2 linked regions of the Schizosaccharomyces pombe genome follow. The protein of the gene in region 1 interacts with the protein of each later gene in a biochemical or structural test. Each region holds a gene or a part of one and is shown in the gene's direction. Other genes may lie near its edges.

The links.
Region 2: the proteins of klp5 (region 1) and kms2 form a complex in vitro, tested with the Schizosaccharomyces pombe proteins (one study listed by BioGRID).

Annotation. Positions count from the first base shown.
Region 1 is NC_003423.3:1,709,927-1,716,903, reverse strand, and holds the start of klp5 (kinesin-8 family plus-end directed microtubule motor Klp5), read left to right. Parts: upstream 1-4,786; 5' UTR 4,787-4,982; coding exon 4,983-5,013; exon of another isoform or gene 5,014-5,069; coding exon 5,070-6,977. Other genes in the region: cytochrome c oxidase subunit VII Cox7, read left to right, coding at 1,468-1,533, 1,601-1,693, 1,744-1,764; cay1 (cactin), read right to left, coding at 2,018-2,647, 2,731-3,183, 3,230-3,322, 3,378-3,629, 3,676-3,801. UniProt on the Schizosaccharomyces pombe protein: Has a role in establishing metaphase during mitosis. Required for chromosome segregation where it generates tension during kinetochore capturing.
Region 2 is NC_003423.3:645,999-652,975, reverse strand, and holds kms2 (protein Kms2), read left to right. Parts: upstream 1-3,956; 5' UTR 3,957-3,986; coding exon 3,987-4,049; exon of another isoform or gene 4,050-4,092; coding exon 4,093-4,839; exon of another isoform or gene 4,840-4,905; coding exon 4,906-5,469; 3' UTR 5,470-6,040; downstream 6,041-6,977. Other genes in the region: DNA replication factor C complex subunit Elg1, read right to left, coding at 143-476, 524-1,367, 1,412-2,996; rba50 (RNA polymerase II-associated protein), read left to right, coding at 6,398-6,977.

The DNA of each region.
Region 1 (6,977 bases):
TTAAAGTTGTATTTTGAAGTCAAATACAGCAGATTATGGATTAACAAAGCAGAAAAGGGAATTCACTCAAAGAGACGTAAGGCTTAATTCTTTCTCACAAGTAGTTTAGTTTTTCAAACCCCTATTTTATTGAAGATTCTAATTATGCCCTATCACTGTAACTAAGCATCCAAAGGAGTCTTAGTACCTGTAAATGAGAATAGCATTAAAGCCGTAAAAGCTATAAACTTTTGTAGCGTAATTGCTATTTTTATAGACAGTTTTATCCTTCCAGAGGTTACTTTGCTTATTATTTTTAACTTCCTCCAACACTATGCCAATGAAAATACGTTAAATAATCTTAGTTTTGAACAGCTCACAGTGGAAGACTAATAAACAAAACTCGACATAATATTATGATGATCATCCAGTCACTAAGTGAGCTATATTTTAAGCTAATGCAATCAATTTTCTTCAAATGCATGAAATTTAAAGGTTTACCCCAACAATATAATGTTGTGTTCAGTTGTGATAATTGTAATCTTTAAAGTATAGCTCGGTTAAGTGCACCTTAATTTCATAAGATTATTATTAGGCCCATAAAATTTGACGAAAGTTTTCTCGGTATTAGTATTCCAAAAAAAAAAAAAAAGAAAAAAAAAAAAAAACAAGGAAGAAAGCAGAGTATCTTTAAAGTACTTTCTGAAATATAATGTATAAGAAACTGTTTTAGTTCATCAATTACTTGAAAAGACGATTTAGCATTTTCAATAACTCAAACCATCATATTCTATCTGTAAGTCATTGTCAGAATCAATTAAAAACTTTCAACGTCCTTCGTATAATATGAACATAGAGCTTTGTAATACGAATTGCTTAAATGGACAAGGAATTTTCGCGTTTGTAGAGAATACTGATGAAGGATAGAACATATGTAACTCAGTATAAAATTGTTCCCTTATCTCAACAACCATAAGAATTTATATAAGTACAAGCAAATGCATCTTCATTATTAACTTTGATCGCTATACTATTATTGCTCCGAGTATGCCATGGACGCATTTATACCATGTTTGAAAGAGATTCCCCAATAGCTTATAAGGAGATAGCTTTAGTTTTTGAAGAAGAATCAATCTGACAATGATTCCGTCCTTAAATTATTTGACAACAATTAATTTATATTATTAGCGTTAATCTCGTTCAGTAAGATTAATTTAAAATGATACATACCAAAAACGATAAAGGAGCATTTTTTTAATAATACGAATATCTTTCACTTAACCGTCTTATTAATATACTTAAATATGTGAGTTTATGAGGTTGACTCTGTGTTCTGGCACCAAGATGTACTAATTGGAACCATCAATCCTTTCCGCACCTACCTACATTTTATCGTTAACCCTCATTTTTTTAACAGTTTAACTTGTTAACTTGATTATTGGTTCGTTTTATAATTATTAAAACAATTATTAATTAAAAAAGAAAAAAATGAAGAATACTATTGTTCAACAACAACGCTTTCTCCAAAGCATCCACAAACCAACTTACTTGCAGGTAAGTTTTAAACGAAACTTGTTTTTAATTATGAAGAGAAAAAAGAACCTAATTGTTTAATATTTAGAGACCAGGTAGTTTTGCTCTTGTTTATCCTTACTACGCTGTTATGGCTGGTCTTGGTTTGTATTCCCTTTATGCCTCTGGAAGAGTCATTTTCGTATGTTATTACTCGATTTATACTATTTTTTTCTAACCTTTCAAAATTAGGGGAAGAAAGATGCTTTTTGAGGACATCCGAAGCATATTTTTATGTCAGGGAACTTCAAATTTCTATGATGCCTTTTCCTTCTATTTATCACCCCCTTCTTCTTGAATTAGTTTAGCTTTTCAATCACGAACTAATCGATTTCGTGTTTCTTTACGATTAAACTTATTTATGCAATACTTAAGTAGTTTAGTAGATGCCTTTTAAGGTTGTTTAGCTGCACATGTAACAGTAATTTAAATTTCATTAAATGTACAACATGATAAATCAGTTATTTTACCTTCTATGATGAAGCTTTTTGAATCGAAAATGGAGGGATAAAACACCATTGTCAAAACTGCTTTTAAACCCATGATCTCGTTTTGCACTGTAATCCCAATCTTTATCTACTATACTGAAGGCAATATCCTGATATGGTTCCCCAGCTATAAAACGTATAATGCAAACATCGTCTTGTAAATCAGTAGTGTCGCTTTTATTCTTCCTTCGTGTTCGTTCTATTCGATACGTTGGTGCACGGCCTGTACCTATTAAATCTGGATAAAAAACGTTAAAACGGTACCCTTGAACTGCTTTGGGAGGTGGGTGGGCTTCATTGAAATGTGCTTGATTATAAGAATTCCATTCAAACCCAAGCAAAACTCTATTAAAGTAGTGAGGCTTTTTCAAAGTAACCCCGTTTTCGTTAACAACACGGGTTTGCCCTTCTACATAGTCCCCAAGCATCTCTTGCTCCTCTGCATCATCGGATTGTAAGTATTCTCTTTCGAGTCGTGCCCTGTTGGCAATTGAAAATTCATCCTCGTTAATCAGATTACTGTTTTTCGGCAAAGTTGGCTTTTGTTTTTGGGTAGGTATCGATATTGGAATATAAGTGCTAGACTTTACAATATTGACATGATCATTCTAGAAAAGATTTTGGTTAGGACAAAAGATGGAAATCGTAATTTGGAAGAGAGTTAATATTATGAAAAACACAAATATCTTACCAATTCTTTTTCATAATCGGCTTGTTCTTCAGGTTGTATCCTGCGTGGTATCGCTTGAGCCCTCAAAATGGGCTTCGGGTCTATAGGGACAATATATAACTTCTCTTCACGATCCTTCATATTTGACAGTTTTTTGGCATCGGAAAAAGCTTTGTCCCATTCTTCATTATCAAGTTTATTTTTTCGAATTTGTAATTCTTCATTAAAAGTCTTTTTTAAATAAGCAATGGCCTTGTAAGATTTTAAAGAGTTTAGTAAATCAACCCAATAATCTGTATCGAGAGGGACATTGCTCTTCAATTTTTTTTGAATTTGTGCCTCAAGCTGTTCTAATTGTTCAAAAGATTTAGGGGCTAAAATCCTTTGTACTTCACCTGCTACGACCTTTAACCCTCTTGAAAATTGCCCAACTTTGTTATGTTCCATTCGAGAATTCACTAGCATTTTAACGTACTATAATGTATAATTTAGCACTTAAAGCATAAAAAATAATCCATACCTTCCAATAAGTTAGTCTACATTGGTTCGTTTCCAGCTGCTGAATATCACCAATATTTCTAGATATCTCCTCCAAATCTTCTGCTTTATAACTCTAAGTATGTTAATGATTAATCTGTTATAAAGTAAAAATAAAATAAGTCCCTTACTTGAATAACAGAGAGTGGATCAAACATGTCAACTGTTCCAAAATCAATTGAATTTTTTTCTCCATTCTCTTCCCATTCTGGGCCTGGCATCAAGTAAACGCTGACAAGAAGTTTATCTATAGGCTTAGAACGATCATTCTTAAGTCGAATAATAGCTCTTCGAAGCTGCTGTAAACGCAAAAATTCCCGTTCTTGCATTTCTTTCGTTTCCCTACTTCGCTCTTCCTCTTTCATAGCATCTCTCACTCTCGGCTAAAGGGAAGGTTAATTCAAAAACAACTAACATTTTCCTACTTACTAAATTATAATTTGCTCTTGCATTTTGATTTGAAGGTCGAAATGAACGAGGTGAAGAAGATCTCGAAGCATGCCTTTTTTCAGGTCTACTTCTGTTGAAATCGCGAGTTGAATCACGAAATGCCATAGTAATATATTTAAATTCAATGCCTTAAATACCAATATTGCTGTATGAAGGGTGCTTTCCAACAGAAGAGAATCCAATTGCTTTTTTTTTATTTGAAACAACTCAATGAGTAGGTTAAGTTTTTTTTTTTGAAATTTGAAACGTAGAGCTTTGTTATTTGATAAATGAACTTAAGGTAATCAATTACTTAGCAATAATAAGACTTATCCAACAATAGTAAAATTTATGGTTATGGCAAAGGTGAAATTTTATTGCATATTCGAATGCTTAGTAGGTAGTTCTAATTTGACGCTTGGTGGTTTGAAAGAAATTGAGCGGTAATGTTATAGCACGAAAAACCCCTAATTCATTATAGTTGCTATTGGTAAAAGTCTCAACGATATCGACTAAAAGGTGAAGTAAAACTCAGTATTTAGTACCTAACGAATATAGGAATACCCAATATAAAATATAGAATATAATTTTGTTTATAGCGCTCACTAGTCCTCTGCTTTCAAACTAATCAGATATTTAGGCCATCAGTTAATTGGCAATAAAGTAGCTAGTGCAGCAGTTGTGGTGTTTATAGAAGTGCTAGAAGAATATATACACTTATTTGATGTTCTATTGCAATTATAGGTGAAAATGATTTAAATTTGTCGGACGATTTATTAAAGTGTGATAAAAGTAAAGCAAAGCAAGAATCTTGCCAGGCATGTGTACATTATAAGTTACAAACCAAACGATAGCGATTCAGTTCAATCATCGAATTTAGTTGCCTTTTATAATAATAAAAATACTGTAAAAGCATCTATGATACTGAGATAGCATTATACACAACTAGTGAAAATGAAAAGGTAAAACAGTATTTCAACTCGATTTTAATCGTAACTACCTGTATTTGTGTTTATTGTCAAAATATGTAAATAATGTAATTGTTTACATCTTTTATTGCCATAACAACCATTCAAAACAAAGTGCGTTACTTGACTAAGAAATGTAACTTGGCAAATGCCAAACAGTCAACATTGAAGCGCACTCAAAAAACGCGTTTCTCGCTCTTTTCTACTGTTACATCTATTTTAATAGTGATCTTCGATATAAATTGCTTTTATTCAAGAAGGTTATTGGAATTGTTGTTTGCGAGTGCCCTTCTTTTCATCTGTTTTGGATGATTGCTTGCATGGAAATTTTGCTTTTCAATGTCAAGACAGTCGTCCATTACCGTTACAGGTTAGTCTTTAATGTGATGTTTTTTAAATTCATATCTTTTTGCTAACATAAAATAGTCCGTGTTCGCCCATTTAGTACAGCTGAATCTGCAAATTTAATTGCATCCTCAGATCGTTTATCATTTGGAACATCTTCTTCCTTAAGGAACCCTGGTTCAGGACGTCAAATTCGACGAGTAGTAAAGGTACTTGATGGACGTGTCTTGGTATTTGATCCCCCGGATGAAACAACGGCTACTTTGAGTGCCACAAACCGCAGACTTTCTACTTCTCAACAGAGTCTCGCTAGATTATCTAGAAAGTCAAACAATTCTGCGGGATTTGGCCGTGATCTTCGTTATGCTTTTGATAGGGTTTTTGATGAAACTGCTACTCAGCAACAGGTGTATGAGAGAACTGCCAGGCCGTTATTAGACAATATTTTGGATGGATTCAATGCTACTATCTTTGCATATGGAGCAACTGGATGTGGTAAAACTCACACCATTAGTGGAACAATGCAAGATCCTGGTTTAATATATTTGACACTAAAAGAACTTTTTGAGAGAATGGATCATTTAAGAGATGAAAAAATTTTTGACCTTCGCCTTTCCTATTTGGAAATTTATAATGAAACTATTCGTGATTTATTAGTATCACCGACCCCAAATCAAGCAAAGCCATTAAATTTACGGGAAGATGCAGACCGTCGCATTACTGTACCAGGTCTTACTTCTTTGTCTCCAGAATCTTTGGAAGAAATCATTGATATTATCATGAAGGGAAATGCTAATCGTACTATGTCTCCGACAGAAGCTAACGCTGCTTCATCTCGTTCGCATGCTGTATTGCAGGTTACGTTGATCCAAAAACCTCGTACAGCTGGCATCAATGAGGACCACACTTTGGCCACTTTATCAATTATTGACTTGGCTGGCTCAGAACGTGCAACAGCTACCAAATTAAGAGGTAGTCGTCTTTTTGAAGGTGCTAATATTAATAAATCTCTTTTAGCCCTAGGAAATTGTATCAATGCCCTTTGTGATCCCCATCGCCGTGCGCATGTCCCCTATCGTGATTCTAAACTTACTCGCTTACTTAAGTTTAGTTTAGGCGGAAATTGTCGGACAGTTATGATTGTTTGCGTATCTCCGTCTTCTGTTCATTACGAAGAAACTCACAATACTCTAAAATATGCTAATCGAGCAAAGAATATCAAAACCGAAGTGTTAAGGAACATGATCAGTGTAGATCGACATGTAAGCCAATATGTAAAAGCAATCGTTGAGTTACGTGAGCAAATTTCAGAGTTGGAGAATCGTCTCGCACAGATCGATTTGTCATCGCAATCAAATGGTTCTGATCAGGACGCTGTAACTCAATCTTTTGCTCATGAATCGAAGCTTGCAGAAGCCAGAAATTTATTGCGTATGACATTTGAGGAGACTTTACCACTGCAAAATGATACTATTAATAAGGTAGAAAAGGTGAAACATTTTGATGATTCAATTCGCGTACTTAAGTACTGGTTATCCTGCTATGAGCGAATACTTCCGAATTCCGCAGATGAACGAGTATTTTTAGTTCGTTCAAAGTTAGAATCATTGTTAACTCGTCGTGCAGAGATCATTGCTGATATAGATCCTGAACTTGTATACCAAAAGTTTCAGAGAAGTGTTTCTCACATTATCAACACATACAAACAAGAAGGTGCTACCATGTACGCTGATGTGTTACAGGATGAAGTTGACTTGCTAAAATCAATTATTGAGAATCAGGTTCTAGATGCTCAGAATAAAGTTGATGAGTTCACTCCTGTTTTAGAATCCCTTCTTAGAAGTTCTTTCAAAGCTAGTTCATTGCTAAAAGAGGGAGGTATGCAAGAGCTATTCTCGATACTGGAAAAGTGGTTGTTGGGCATTGGTCTTGGCGAGAAACCTAATATATCTGTCTTATCAGAAAGTTATAAGCTCAACTCAACATCCG
Region 2 (6,977 bases), 1.1 Mb from region 1:
GTAAATAAAATAAATTTTATTGAATATCATAAATGTAAAGATTTGATATATTCAGTAGTATACACTATATACAGAAACAGTGAAACTTATTTTGGTTTCAACTGGAGGAGTTGTTTTTTAAAATAAAATGGAAATGTAGAAGCTAATCTAGAGTTGTTGAAAACCAAGTAGACAGTATGCGGTCGCTACCTTCTAGATATTGTAGTCGTCCATAGTTATATCCAGCGCTCCGTAATATACTCGCTGCACCTCTTCTCGATATATGAGATGCTGAACGACCTTTCGATGAGAGAAGCAACTTATAGCTGTTTAGACGAATGCGATCATATCTTCGCATACAACGAACAAAGGGTGCAACTTCAAGGATCAAAATGTCATTAGGACGGTCAATGCTGTTAGGGGGGGTATAAGAGGTGACCTGTGAATTAGCAAATGATAAAAACGAAAGAATGTTATAAACATCATCCGGATCAAGTCTAAATTAAACAGTAAGTAAGATTTTCTATTTTTTTTGTAACCGTACTTGTAACCTATAGTTGACGCTAATGCAGATAGCTGTAATTCACGGTTATTGAGAGCTTTTGGAACAATGCTATCGTTACTGGAAATAGCTTTCAAAGAGCTTTTTGAAAATAAGTTATTAATAAAGCAAAATGAATGGTATTGAAGCTTTAATTCATGGGGTTCGGGAGGAGCGTTGGCATGAAAGGGATTCGAAATCGTTGGAAATCCCACAAGATTATCTTGAAACGCGTTAGCGCAATTATCCCGACATTCCAAACTCATATCTTCAAATGACGCGGAATCATTCATTAACTCATAAGTCTCATAAATAGTGGGTTGAGAGCTAAAGCGGTAATCTACATAAGAGAGAGAGTCCGCGTATTGATGGCTGTAAATTAATTTTTCCATAATTGCTTCCTTCTCTTCCATTTCAGACTTTGGGACGCAAACTTTTCTCCAATTTACTAAATTCGGCATGAACAGTAACCCAATATCTCCCATTTGTTCCTCAGAATACGTTTGCAGTAAATCTTCACTAGTTTGAATTCGTGGGTTGTAAACTCCAACGCCTTCATCAAAGGCAGAAATAGTTGCCTCAATAAATGGTTCATGAGAATCATCTTGCTTATCTTTAGAAGGCAAAGAAGGGAAATTTACAAGGGACCAAAAGTTTAATTGCATTAGTATACCTCGCAAATCAGAACCATATCTGTAGCTTATTGATTCAACAACATTTCTTGATATGATGCAACGATCAGCATACAATACACTAGAAATATAGTCGGTTAGCAAGGCAGAAGAGATGGACTGAAATTGCACAATGTGGTCTTCCTGAAGAAAGGCAGAAGGTAAAAAATCAGTTTCTAAAATTATGTTAGTAGTGGAAAAACTAAAACATTCTCCCTACCATTACAAGTCATGACAACAGGACGTTTAGATTTTTCAATTAAAGTAGAGACTGCTTGCCAAAAGCCACGATCGTCCTGAAATAAAATATCAACTTCTTCAAGTAGGATAAGAATGTCAGGAGTATTATTAAGCCTAGATTTATCAACGATATGACTTTGTGTTAGCTCACCAATCCGTTCAAGCAGCTCTTTTCCCGAGCGTCTCATTCCCGGGTGTATTTCAACAACTTCAAAATTAAGCTCACGACATATGGCATATAAGCATGAAGTCTTTCCTATTCCCGTAACACCAGTAACAAGCATCCAGTTAGAAAATTGAGAAGATGTAAGCTTTGCTTTTTTACGCGACACAGAAGGATTGAACTCGTCGGAATCATCTTCTTCTTCAATGATATCCGGTTCAAAGTCACTTTCCGAAAGAGAATCTTCATTTCTTTTAGAAGATGTACAAGAATGAATAGTCGAGGATCGAGATATAGAAGATGAAGGAGGTACAGATGAGCTTTCAGGTTTGGTCAACCTACATGACCTTAGCCAATCCGCTATCTTCGAAAGGCATTGAGAGAACGCACAGCAATCTTGTGTTTTAGATGGAGCATATTTTGACACCCACAGTCCTTTTTCTAATATTTGTGGGATCATTGGCATTTCAACATTAGGATCTGATGGCAAAAGTCTTGACAAAACCTTTTGAATAAAAGGAGCCGGTGAAAAGCACAACGATTCCAAAGCAAAAGTATGAAGTTTAGAAGGAGTAACCTGTAATACTTCTGTTTTATTTTTCTCAGCTAATGGGGTTATCATATTCGCGGTGGTGGAGGAAAGAACCTCCTTAAACGAAAGATGAGAGGTCTCTTCTAAAATGGCTTCTTCTAAATGCTTTTTCGGAAACCAGAAAACACTCGGCTCAATAGAGCCGGCATACTCTAACATACTCTGGGAATCGGGTGTCGGCCATAATGGATCAAGTAACCTCTCTGGCTTAGTACCGCCTCTTTCTTCACTTACAAATTTGATTTCAGAATTCTTTTTCACAGACTTTGACATGAAAAACGGGTGCATGGATGTGACAGTATTTCGCAGATTACTAGGTGAATCTGCTAAGTTTGAATAATGTAACTCGGAAACAAGGGGGGAAGAATTAACTGTTTCCTGTGAATTAATATTCTCAACTAAAATATTAGTATCTGATGCTTCTCCCGACGACTTAGCAGGCGGAAAGGCAGTTGAGTTGGTATCATTGCTGAGTTTTGGGTGTAATATATTCTCAATTTTTTGACCCAAGGAAGTCGATACTTTAAGCGTTACTAGTAAAGATTGATCATTTTCAAAGTCTTTGCTTTCCTCCATATCCATATCAAAGAATTTCCTCATGTAGCTACGTTCCTTATGAAGTGATCGGCTTCTTCGAGGTTTACGAGACCCTGACAAAGGAGATTTGCCAAAATATTTATTTTCAGATGTGGCAGGGACTGGTGACATTGTGTGTCTCCTCCCAATAGGCTTTTCTTCTTTTGCTTCATTTTCGGATTTTAAATCAGGATTACTCTGCGAATCTGCAGACAAATAGCCTACAATTTGCATAGGGATCTTCAATCACCGCATAAGTTCAATAAAAGTCCTAGTTTGAATGATTTTTAGAAATAGTTTCACAGGTTTCTCAGCTTTCAACAGTTTGGTTAAGGAGAGGTAGACAAAGACTCCGTGTACTAGTGAACGAGTATTGGGAATTCGATAAGCTTATAGTTTAGATTTATTTATTTTTAAGTATGTTTTAGATTACTGAAATTCCTAAATAAAATATCGTTGCACCATTGAAGCAACACGATCCTCCATATTATCATTGTTATGTGTAAGCTGTCAGTAATTGAATAGAGAAGTAGGAGATATAATCGTCACAGTTAAGCTTTTTCATCTCTTTTAAAAACGACTTACCAACTTTTAATGTGAGTTTGCTTATTCCATGCAAAGAAAACCGAGTTCAATAGCTATTAATCCATAGCCTAACATAATCAGTGAAATAGTCAAAAGAAAAATTTGATACTAATATACTTTTTAGAAAATTTTAAAGAATTTGTATAATTACTATTTCTACTACCGCCAATTAGTCGGAACGCTGACTAACTTTTTGTGCATCGTTGTAAAATAAAGGAGAGCAGAATTTCACTTGTTTATGATTGTAGTAAATTTTCTAAGTTAAGTAGTCTATTTACTTCAATTAAGTAAATCTAGATTCAAGAAACGGATCACATTTGTTTATCTGTTTATTTATTTGTTTGTTTTTTAAAAAAAGGTAAGTGTAAAGCTTTCCTTCCACTTTAACTCAATCAGTAAAAAATAATTTATTTTGAAGATGATTTTGCTAACAATTTTATACATTTCGTACTGCAACATTTTGCTAAAATATCCTGTTTATGTTTTGACTTGCACTTTGTTTACTTTTTTAAGGCAACTTCTATAACGTATTGTTCTGCATTACATTACAAAAATAAGAAAATCGCACAAGTTATCGTTAACAAACCTGCCTTTATACTAATTCTGTTTAACCAAAGCACATGTCAATAAACAATCAAAATGGATGAATACATCCCTTTTGACGATATTGTGCGCCAATACGACCCAGATTATACAGGAAAAGTAATTTCTCATTACTTGAAAAATAGTTTCTAATTTTCGACAGGTTTCCATTCAAGCATTTTTAGAAATTGTCGACGATGTTGACGCATTGCGACTTAATCCAGAGGCCCCTTTGCTTGATAATGAGCAAAGACAATCGGCCCAAGATTTTATAAAAGATAACAGTGAGATTGTAGTGTCTACGAGTGAAATTAAGAATTTGTTTTATGAGTTAACTGGTCTTGACCCTGATACCCTTCCTGTAAACAAATTAGCTTTGCGCGAGAATGGGGTATTACCAAGAAAAAGTGTAGCGAAGCCTCAAAAAATATCAGAAAATCGAATAAAGAGAAAAGATATGTTTTATCAAGACGCAAGTTACATAACACCAAGAAAAGGATCACCTTTGAGTCATTCAACCCCTTTGTCAATGTTTCGAACTAAAAATGAATATGGATCAAATAAAGGATTTTCTCATATAAACAAGGAAAATGCTGATGATTCTTTAATTCAACAGCTTTATGAAAGGATAGAGCTTCAAGCGGCAGAATTACGTTCTAAAGACGAGCAAGTTAAAGAACTAAACGCGCGAAATGCAAAATTATTGGAGGAATTGGATTCTTCGGAAGAAGCTTGCAAGTCTTGTTATACCCAAGCGAAAACCTGGGAGAAAAAATTTCGTGAAGCTCTTCGTGATTCTAAGGAGTATGCAGCTCAATTACAAACCATTCATGAAGAGTATGAGCAACAGCAAGCCCATATTGTGAGAATGGAAGAGCTAATCCATGCTGTAGAAAAGGAAAGGAAAACGGTATGATTTTTAAGAATATGCCTTATTCGAGGTAGAGACAAGCCAGTTTACTAATTTGTTTAATAGGAAACAGATTACATGAAGAAAGAATCTTTGTCGGAACAAAAAGAAAGAGGCGCTTTTATGGAGTCAAACATGATTTTAGAAGAAAAGGTTGCACATCTTCAGTTGGAAAACGAGCAGTTGAGACTATTTTTTAAGGAAAAGGCGCCTCAACCCTTCCAAAATCACCCTCCGTATCAAAATCTAAAAATTACTTTTCCCAGCCCTTTCTTTCACATCCCTTACATCCCTAAAACGGAGACTTTGAACGATTCCCAATTTGCCGCTGGTCTCTCTTTACTGGCATCAGAACTTGAAAGTCAAAAAAATCTGTTAAAGAAGTTCGAAAACTTAAAAAAGAAGTCTTCCAAAGATTTTTTATCTCCCTCCACCATACTCTCTAATGCTTTTTCCAAAGTTTCACTCCCCAATTCTTTAATTTTGCGTGTCTTATTTTTTTCATTGTTGTTCATCATCGGAATTCATATTTTTTATTTTTTGTTTTTTCATGTTGCAACAATTCAACAATGGCCTTTTCTTTTTTGGTTACCATCTACAAAATTCGACAATCGTTGGTCTCCGACATGAATCTTAGATTCAAGTTTAATCCAATTTTTATTTTCAAAGCACGGATTCCAAACTTAATTGCTATAATTGAACATTGATTCAAGATTTATGTATATTGGAATAATTGATGTATTTATGGGGCTCTGCTCAATTCAAGACGATCTGTATCTTCTAACTCTTCGCCTGATAGGCAACGGACAAGAAGTTTACATTGAGCTAATAATTAGTCGCATCTCATCTGCGTTTGGTTTTAGGTGTGTCATATGAAAAAGGGTTAAAGCGACGTTTTTCGTTTTTATGTTTGAATTAAGATATTTTCTCTGAGACGAAATATTTTTAGTGTTTATCATTCTTTTCTTGTCTAATCTTCTACTCGCCACTCATTTTTCTGTTCTCTATTTTTTCTTTTTGGATGAATGTCGTTTCTTCTAATAACTTCTTTCTTTCTTTAATCTTCAAGGATAGCCCAAGTCCTATTAAACTCGGATACTATCTTTCTCATAATTTCTCTTTTATAACTAGAAAACTTTTTCACGAATTAATTATTTATTATGCACTTTTAATATTAAATGAAAAGTATTGAATTAAAAAAGGAAAAAACCATCCATTTTTCATATCATGTAAACATTTAGTTTTTTTTCCATACAATAAATCAATTTTTACAGTTACGTTATCATATATAGTGAGATGTACCGTTATTTTGTGAGCGCAAAATAGCTAAGAAAATGAGAGAAAACGTAACCATCCCTGCAATCTACCAAATGGTATGTAAATAGTGAAAGGGAGAAAAAACTCATAAGGTTGAAGTATTTATTATTCATTTAATCAGAATCTCATAATACTATCTCAGAGGGCTTTATTCGTGAGGTTTGAAGAAATTGACCCTTAAATTCTTATAAAAAGGAAACATCTACATACAAAAAGCAGATATTTTCAAAATTCAATCGCTATGGAGAATCACAGGAGTGTATTCTCAAATGTGATAGGTGATATTGTTGAAAAACCGCCGAAGCAACTTGTTGAAGTGAAGAGGTCAGTTCAGCGGCATGCTAGGGGATTTCCAGCCGTTTCACGAACATTGCCGAAACGAGAATCGAAATCAATGAGTGCTTATAAGGAGAAGATGCTTCGAAAGAATAAGGAATCTCCGGGTTTGGAAGGAAAAGGGAATTTGGATGATCAAGGTATTGATGAGGAAAATCGCGTTCGTTTGGAAAGGATGAATGATCTGGAAATTGAAGGAGCTCAAGAGGAAATTAGGGCCACTATTCGTGATGACTTGCTGGAGATGTTGAAAAAGAGAGCGTTTAAAAAGAAGGCGGAACGTGAATTGGCACAAAGGAAAGATCGGTCCTCCCAAGTTAACACACCCGACCTAAGTCAGCGTCCCAGTGATGATAGCTTTTTATCGAATGAAAAATTAAGGAGTTCTGAAAAATTGAATCGCAATCTTCAAAGCGTTTTGTCTAGTGAGGCAGTCGATAGCTCCTCCGGTTCTCCCTCTCCCCCGATGGCGCTGAGCCAAGCTG